Oryctolagus cuniculus: one gene and its partner. The protein of the gene in region 2 purifies or fractionates together with the protein of the main gene of each other region. This does not show direct contact. Links are inferred from orthologs where the notes say so. Each region holds a gene or a part of one and is shown on either strand. Other genes may lie near its edges.

Evidence for each region. Proteins that work in one complex are often made in the same cells at the same time.
Region 1: the proteins of POLR3D (region 2) and POLR1D purify together in Homo sapiens (affinity purification with mass spectrometry; 6 studies listed by BioGRID and IntAct, counting the BioPlex papers as one, with this or other methods). This does not show direct contact. The link is inferred for Oryctolagus cuniculus from reciprocal best matches to the Homo sapiens genes POLR3D and POLR1D.

What each region holds. Positions count from the first base shown.
Region 1 is NC_091440.1:86,895,494-86,899,626, reverse strand, and holds the start of POLR1D (protein POLR1D), read left to right. Parts: upstream 1-1,330; 5' UTR 1,331-1,483; coding exon 1,484-1,509; intron 1,510-4,133.
Region 2 is NC_091439.1:1,075,016-1,079,312, reverse strand, and holds the end of POLR3D (DNA-directed RNA polymerase III subunit RPC4), read left to right. Parts: intron 1-91; coding exon 92-243; intron 244-351; coding exon 352-476; intron 477-576; coding exon 577-745; intron 746-1,070; coding exon 1,071-1,336; intron 1,337-2,834; coding exon 2,835-2,987; intron 2,988-3,095; coding exon 3,096-3,218; 3' UTR 3,219-3,790; downstream 3,791-4,297. UniProt on the Homo sapiens protein: DNA-dependent RNA polymerase catalyzes the transcription of DNA into RNA using the four ribonucleoside triphosphates as substrates.

The sequences.
Region 1 (4,133 bases), on a different chromosome or scaffold from region 2:
CCAGGCGCCAGCTCCCGCTCTCCGCGGCCCGCCGAGGGAGCCGGGAGTCGGCCAGGCTCCGCTCCTCCGGGAATCGCCGCCGCCGCAGTCGCGGGTTTCCCGGCAAGAAGCAAACTCTGGCCAAGACTTCACTTCTCAACCGCCCCTGCTGCCTTCCCGGGGGCGAGCGCCGGGCTGAGCGGCCCAACCCGACACGCTGCTGGGCCAATCGGCGGCGCCACAGGGCGGGGAGGGGGCGGATCAGAGGCGGATCCACCTATCAGAGAACGCAGGGGGCGGACCAGGAGGGGCCGTCATTCCTAGGTTAGAGTGAACCTACTCCGTCCCTCGCCCCTCGCCCTCCCCCACCCGCCTGGGGCTGTCCCCGCCGCTCGCCTGATTCCTCTGTGGAAGGCGCTCGGCAAGTGTGTGAGCGAGCGCCGGGCAGCCGCGGGGACAGCGGGACAGCTGAGCAGGGGACGCACGGAGCGGGGTGGGGGGAGGTCGAGGGGAACAGGTGGCGCGGGAGAGCAGGCGTGTAGGTGTGCTGGGCGAGAGGACAGCCGGGGTAGAGGGCAGCGACCGGGGCTGGCCGGCGTTAGAGAGGTTGCGGGAGCCGGGGGTGAGCAGCGGGGAGCAGCACTGAACACTCCCAGAGAGGAAGGGGCCGGAGAGGGAACCCCGCCGAGGAAAGGCTGCCGAAGCGGGGTAGGGGACGCCTGGGAACAAAGATGAGAGGGAGGTTCCCCGGGGGTGGGGTGCAGAAGGGGTAAAGAAAAGGGTGGAAGGGAGGTGCATGGCCGGGGGAAGGAAAGGACGGGGTGGGTGAGTGTGCTCCCAAACTCCCACTTCTCCCCTAAGGAAAACGGTAAACGCTTGTCCTGTGTCCCGGGGGAGATGCTTAGCTGCAAGAACCCCACTGAGTACTGTCTTGAAGCACCACGTTCTGTTAACGAGACTCAGCCCCTCCTATTTAAGGACGGTATAGCCCAAGCCTGCGGTCCCACAAGAGGTTGGATTCCCGGGAGGCCACAGGGTTCCAGTCGAGTCTAGCAGGCCGGACTTGGGTCCCAAGAAGGGAGGTGATGTGGGGGCGGCAGGTAAGGCCCTGCCCCCTTCGCCACCAGTTGGGGAGACGGTACCAAAGGTGGAGCTCGGGCGCACGCACTGTGACCGGGGCCTCCGGGTGCGACGCCAGCGGGCCCTCCGCCGCCCTCCTCCCGGCTCGCCCCGCACGCCGCCAGGCTGGGGGCGCGCCAGGTGAGCGGCTCGGGCCCGGCGCCACCGCCCTCCTCGCGCCGGGGGCGGGGCCGGGGGCGGAGCCTCCACGTCCCGCCCAGCGCCCGGACCCTGCCGCGCCGCTGCGGCTCCTCCTCCCTCCTTCCGTCGCCGCCTTCTTCCGTCCGTCGTTCCTTCCTTCCTGCCTCAGCCGCTCAGCTCGCGGCATGGGGCAGAGCCTCCGATCGGCCAGCACCACCTGAGGATCCTGGAACCGGCACCCGCGATGGAGGACGACCAAGAGCTGGAGAGGTAACGGCCGAGAAGGCGGGCGGGGCGGGCGGAGTAGGCCGCGCCCAGGCAGGGGAGCGGGCGGTACCGGGCACGCGGCCCGGCCCGGGCCTAACCTCCGCGGCCCTGCAGAGCAGCAGGGGCCCGACCCGGGACGCTGAGAGAGGGAACAGGGCCCGACGGGGAGGAGAAGGGAGGAGTCGTGGATGTGTTTGAATAGAGGCGCTCCGAGGGACAGTAGTTCTCGAGGAGGGCGGACCAGTTGGCAGAGCAGAGTTGGGTCCCGAAACTGCCCAACCCCGTTAGAACAGCGGCGTATTCAGTCCGGCTTAAGCCCCCCCGTCACTACCGCTCTCCCTCCTCCTCCGTGCAGACTGTTAGCCGTGTAGCCCTGCCTCAAAGCGCTGAGTTCTGTTTCTCCCTCCCGCTGTACTGTTTCAGCTCTTACCGTTTCCTAGCTTCCTTACCTCTTGCAAGTGGAAGCCATAGTTGGGCCTGCACATTGATAATCTGTAGTCTCTGTTTATATGCTGGAGCAATCTTGTGTTTTTCTACACCTTCAACTCCCTTTTCCTCTTCCAGCAGGGCTCACCCTATGCTATATCCCTTTCTTGTGACTCTTCCAAAAGAAATGTCTTTGCAGACACTTAAGTGTATGTTTTTCTAAGAAGATGCTCCGTGTGGCCCACGTGGATAGTTAATGGAGCAGGGAGAAACTGGAGTCAGCAAATTAAATATTCATTGGTAGAAGTGGTGGAGGCAGAAAAGAGAGAGGCTGACAGTTCTGTGTGTAATTGCTGTGGATTAGAGTAATGATGTGTGGCAATTGTGATATAGTAAATGAAAAAAAAAGCTAGTTACAATATTCAGTATGATCTCACTTTTATAAAAAATATGTGTGTAGAAAAATGTCTGGATTGAAGACCTCAATGGCCGAAGGCGAGAGGAAGACAGCCCTGGAAATGGTCCAGGCAGCTGGAACAGATAGACACTGTGTGACATTTGTTTTGCACGAGGAGGACCATACCCTAGGAAATTCTCTGCGTTACATGATTATGAAGAACCCGGAAGTGGAATTTTGTGGTTACACTACGACCCATCCTTCAGAGAGCAAAATTAATTTGCGCATTCAGACTCGAGGTGCTCTTCCAGCTGTTGAGCCATTTCAGAGAGGGCTGAATGAGCTCATGAATGTCTGCCAACATGTGCTTGACAAGTTTGAGGCCAGCATAAAGCACTATAAGGATCAAAAAGCAAGCAGAAGTGAATCCACATTCTAGTCCCTTGTGCAGGATACAAGGAGGACTAATCTCTGGGATACTCTTCTTCATGATTGTGCAGAACCCAGAATTAGAAGTTTGTGATTACAACAACCTGCTCTATCTTTCCAAAAAAAAAAAAAAAAAATGGTTCTAGCTGTTGACCCATTCATCACAGCTGTTGGAATCCCCGCAAGAACCTGTGTATTCTCCTAATAAATTCCCTCTTTTATTGAAACTATTTTTGAGTGGTTTCTGTTCCTTGCAACATCCTCAAGGATGACTTTATTTGCTTGCAGTAGAGCCAACATTTAAAGTGATAAAACAGAGCATCAGGCACCCAAAATAGTGGTTTCATCATGGGAATCAAAAGGAGTATACATTCCTGACTAGGATTGGGGTGGTGAGGCAAAGAGGAGATGGAATAGACCATTACGCAGATAGACTGGTGGGTTTCAAAAAGAAAGAAGGTCAGGATGTGGACTTGGCTTCTTAGATATTTTACTGATGAGAAAGTTGTATCCTTTTCTCTTAGGGGATTGGGTAAGGTTAGGGAATAATTTGAAAGAATTTTGAGAATTCTGGTTTCACATGAGGGTCTCAGGAGTTATCCAGCTCCATCTTTGTACCATCTATAGAATAATTGTTTACTGCCTGAGGAGAAACCTGGAATGAGCAAATTACATTTTTAGTCTAAGTAGGTATCCAACTGTAGCCTAGGGTCATATAGAAGAAACACTATTTGAGAGAAAGGACACAGAGGGAAAATACCATGTGGAGAAAATGACTTGGAAAACTTGAAATATTAGTGAAATCACATCCAAGAGCCATTGTATCTGTCTACATCTTCAACATCTTTCATACCAGTCATACCAGAACTTCCTTCTTCAATTATCCTAAATACCTGTCAACCCTAGAGCCTGAGCACTCCCATATCCCAATGCACTGTGCTTTGGGGCCTTAGTTGATCCTATTTATTCGTGTGATCCTGGGACCTAGCACAACACTGGACAGCAGGTGGACACTTAGTAAATATGAGATGAATCCCTGTAGGTAGTTATGGCATGTTAGCTTTTCAGTAACTCTTAGTTGAGCTGCCCTAGAGCCTCTTTAAAGATATTTATTTATAGAGCTTCTGGTTTGTACCTTGGGGATAGGTATAATAGTGAGACACAATAAGTGTTGCATAAGAGAAACAATATTTTTAAAAAGTTGTAATTCTGGGGAAGAAAATACAATATCAAGATAGAAAGCATGAGAGAGAATTTTGCTTTAGGTATGGAAGTCAGGGAAGCTCTTCCCAAGATTACAGGAAGAGAAGGCTCTCATGATGGAAATTAACATTGTGAGGGAATAGCATGTACAGAGGCCCTGAAGCAGAAAACT
Region 2 (4,297 bases):
TCCGAGTGGGGCTCCACAAACTCTGCTCGGTTGGCGGAGTGGCGTGGCAAAGGCAGGCCAAGTGGTCCCCAGCATCCCCCGTCTCTTGCAGGCCCAAGGAGGAGGTCACAGTGAAGAAGGAGAAGCGGGAGAGGGACCGAGAGCGGCAGCGGGAGTGGCATGGGCGGGGCCGGGGCCGCCCGGAAGTCATCCAGTCCCACTCCATCTTTGAGCAAGGCCCCGCTGAGATGATGAAGAAGAAAGGTACAAGGAAGGGGTCAGGAATGGAGGCGGGGCCAGAGCCACGGAGGCAGGCCGGAGCCACGGAGCGCCCGCTGCCGGCTAGCTGCTGAACAGGGTGGTTTCCCGCAGGGAGCTGGGATAAGACCGTGGATGTGTCGGATATGGGTCCCTCTCACATCATCAACATCAAGAAGGAGAAGAGGGAGACGGACGAGGAGACCAAGCAGATCCTGCGCATGCTGGAGAAAGACGACGTGGGTGCCGGGGCGGGGAGGGGGTTCGCTATTGCGGGGGCTGCCGGGGTGGGAGGAGCGAGGGGCAGCGGCCCGTGACCCCGCAGCTCTGCCTTGGCAGTTCATCGATGACCCTGGGCTGCGGAACGACACCCGGAACATGCCTGTGCAGCTGCCGCTGGCGCACTCGGGCTGGCTGTTTAAGGAGGAGAGCGAGGATCAGGATGTGAAGCCTTGGCTGGCCGGCCCCAAGGAGGAGGACATGGAGGTGGACGTGCCCTCTGTGAAAGGTATTCCGGTATCCCTCAGGCCAGGCCTGAGCTGCTCCTGGGTAGGCCCTGCCCCGTTCCACCTGTCGTATGTGTGAGCTGGACACCCGTACTATAAATATATTACTGTATACAAACCCTCTCGGAGGATTCCCGCGTTGACCTGCCCGGGGGCCACGCCTCCGACAACCCTGCCTAGCTCTTAGAGCTGCGCGTGCTCTCTCTCGCCCCTCACCGTTGTCAGTCTCCCCGTGGCTCCTCGCTGAGCGGTAGTGGGGTGGACAGGGCAATAGGTGGCATGGAGGCGCCCACTTCGTATCTCCTCTGTGTTTGTTACCCTGGGCAGTAAAAGAGGAGCCACGAGACGACGAGGAGGAGGCTAAGATGAAGGCTCCTCCCAGAGCGGCTAGGAGGACGCCAGGCCTCCCGAAAGACGTGTCTGTGGCAGAGCTGCTGAGGGAGCTGAGCCTCACCAAGGAGGAAGAACTGCTGTTCCTCCAGCTGCCGGACACGCTCCCCGGCCAGCCGCCCACCCAGGACGTCAAGCCCATCAAGACAGAGGTGCAGGGCGAGGACGGGCAGATGGTGGTCATCAAACAGGAGAAGGACCGGGTAGGCGTCCCGGGGAGCCCTGGGGGAGCCCGAGGTGGTGGGGTGAAGGCGTGCAGGTGCAGGCATGCACTCTCAGCACCTGCCAGAGCCTGGGCTTTGCACTGCCAGCCCCAAATCCGTGTACGTGCGCCTGCTTCCTAGAATGAACAGTTTCAAACATGCAGGCGTACTTGGAAAAATCCGTGGAAAGTGCACATTATGAAAAGCTGCACGGCTTTCAGGCTGTTTTGCACCACAGGAAGCCTCATTTTCCAGAGGGTTTTTTTTTTTTTTTTTTTTTTTTTAATTTATTTTATTTAGCTGAATGGCAGAGTTTTAGAGAGAGAGAGAGATCGAGATCTTCCATCTGCTGGTTCACTCCTCCAATGGCTGTGATGGTCAGGGCTGGGCCAGGCTGGAGTCATAAACTTCCTGCGGGTCTCCCACATGGGTGCAGGGGCCCAAGGGCTTGGGCCATCTTCTGCTGCTTTCCCAGGCCACAGCAGAGAGCTGGATCAGAAGTGGAGTAGCCGGGACTAGAACCAGCGCCCATGTGGGATGCCGTGGTTTCACCCACTGCACCGGAGCGCCAGCCTCTGCAGTCATTTTTACATCTTTTACAAGGGCAGAGACTCCTGTGTCCCATCCCTTAGCTGCAGCTGTTGTTGGTTTGTTTTAAAGATTTATTTATCTGAGAGAGTTGCAGAGAGAGAGAGAGAGAGAGAGAGAGAGATCTTTAGTCTGCTGGTTCATTCCCTAGGTGGCCACAGTGGCCACGGTTTGGCCTTGCTGAAGCCAGGAACTCCATCCAGGTCCCCATGTGGATGGCAGGGACCCAAGCACTTGGGCCACCTTCTACTGCTTTCCCGGGCCATTGGCAGGGAGCTGGATTGGAAGTGGAGCAGCCGGGACTTAAACTGGCGCCCCATGGGATGCCAGCATTGCAGGCAGCGGCTTTATGTACTATGCTACAGTGCCAGCCCCAGCTGTTGATGTTTTATACATTTGTTTTCTCTGTGTTTTGGCCATTTTTTTTTTTTATTTTTAAAGGTTTACTTATTTATTTGAAAAAATTAGAAGGAGACAGACAGAGATCGATCTTCTGTCTGTTGGTTCACTCCCCAGATGGCTGCAATGGCCTGGCCTGCGTTGGGCCAGGCCAAAGCCAGGAGCCAGGAAATTCATCTGGGTCTCCCATGTGAGTGCAGGGGCATAAGCACTTGGTCCGTCTTCCACTGCTTTCCCAGGGAGCTGGATTGGCAGTGGAGCAGCCAGGACTCAAACCGGCGCCCATATGGGATGCCAGCACCACATGCTGTGGCTTTACCCACTACGCCACAGTGCCGACCCCAGGTTTTGTCTTTTAACCGATGGCAGATTGCCCTTGGAAAAGGCCCTCTCTGGGGGCCTTACCCTGGTCTGGGCTGCCAGTGCCTTCCCCTGGGAGATTGGGGTTTGTTCCTGAAGGGTGGAGGAGAGAGCTCCTTGCCCAGTCTGCACCCCCTTCCTCTCTCCACAGGAAGCCAGGCAGGCAGAGAACACGTGTGCCCTGGCTGACCTCACGGAGGGGCAGGTTGGCAAATTGCTCATCCGCAGATCAGGGAAGGTGCAGCTCCTCCTGGGCAAGGTGACTCTGGACGTGACCATGGGGACCGCCTGCTCTTTCCTGCAGGTGAGCACCCTGTGCCGCAGGGAGAGGCGGGCAGGGCTCGAGCCCCGAGGAACGGGAGCCGCTGGCCAGGGACAGCTGGGGGTTCTCACCCCGTCTGTCGCTTGGCAGGAGCTGGTGTCCGTGGGCCTTGGAGACAGCAGGACGGGGGATCTGACGGTCCTGGGCCACGTGAAGCACAAGCTCGTCTGCTCCCCTGACTTCGAGTCCCTCTTGGATCACAAGCACCGCTGAGCAGCAGATGGAGGAAGCTGCGCCTGCCCACGGCTGCTGCCTGCCGCAGGCGTTTTGTTCTGGAGTCTGTGGCCCAGAGGGGGCTGTGTGGCCTGCCCACTCGGGCCTCTGGCAGCTGGCGCCCCACTTGCACCCCGGGGCCCCCGGGCTCCCTCCCGCAGTGTGGATGTGGCATATCCTTGCTGCTGGGGCCTAGTCCTTGCTATTTATTTTTGTATTTATATCTTAGCATCTGCAGCCAGCTGCGTCCCCGGTGAGGGTGTGGGGGAAGTACAGGCCCCTCCTCTCGATGCCTGCAGGGCCGGGGGAGGAGGGTGTGGAAAGGCCTGGCCTTTGCCCGTGCGCCCTCCCCCACGAGGCCGTGTGGGCGAGAGCAGAGGTGGAGTGTGGATGAGAGGACTCGTCCATTCCTAACCTTTCTGAACCTCACGTTCCTCATCGGACGGAAGTGGGGCTAGCACCTGCCTCGCGGGGTTGGCGTGAGGATCGAATGGAGCTCTCTAGGTGGCAGCTCCTTGCACACAGCCAGACGTGTACCTGGTGGGCGCTCAATAAATGTTTGTTTCCTCTTCCTTGCCTGAGTCTGTGTTTGTGCAACGTAGAGCTTGCCTGTCCCTCCAGTGACTAGAACCGCACACTCCCCACTTTTGTGCCTTCACTGTTTCTTTTAAAAATTTTTGCTTGTTTATGAGACAGACAGAGCTCCATCCGCTGTGTCACTCCCCAAATGCCCACAGCAGCTGGAGCTGAGCCGTGACCGCAGTCTGGGTCTCCCGCGCGTGTGGCAGGAACCTAATCACTTGAGCCATCCTGCCGCCTCTACCTCTCAGGGTGTGCGTTAGCAGGACGCGGAGTCAGGAGCCAGAGCCGGGGCCTGGACCTGGGCCCTGCGGTGCGGGATGCGAGGGTCTGGGCTGCTAGGCCGAACGCCTGCCCCTCTCTTCATCTTCCTCACCCTGGGTCCTGGCCCTTTTCCTGGTTACTCTTAGCCAAGTGCTTCCTGTGTGTTACCGGGCGAAGATGGCGTTGGAAGAATGGGAAGAAGTCCGGTTTCTCCCCACACCCTACACCTTGGGTGG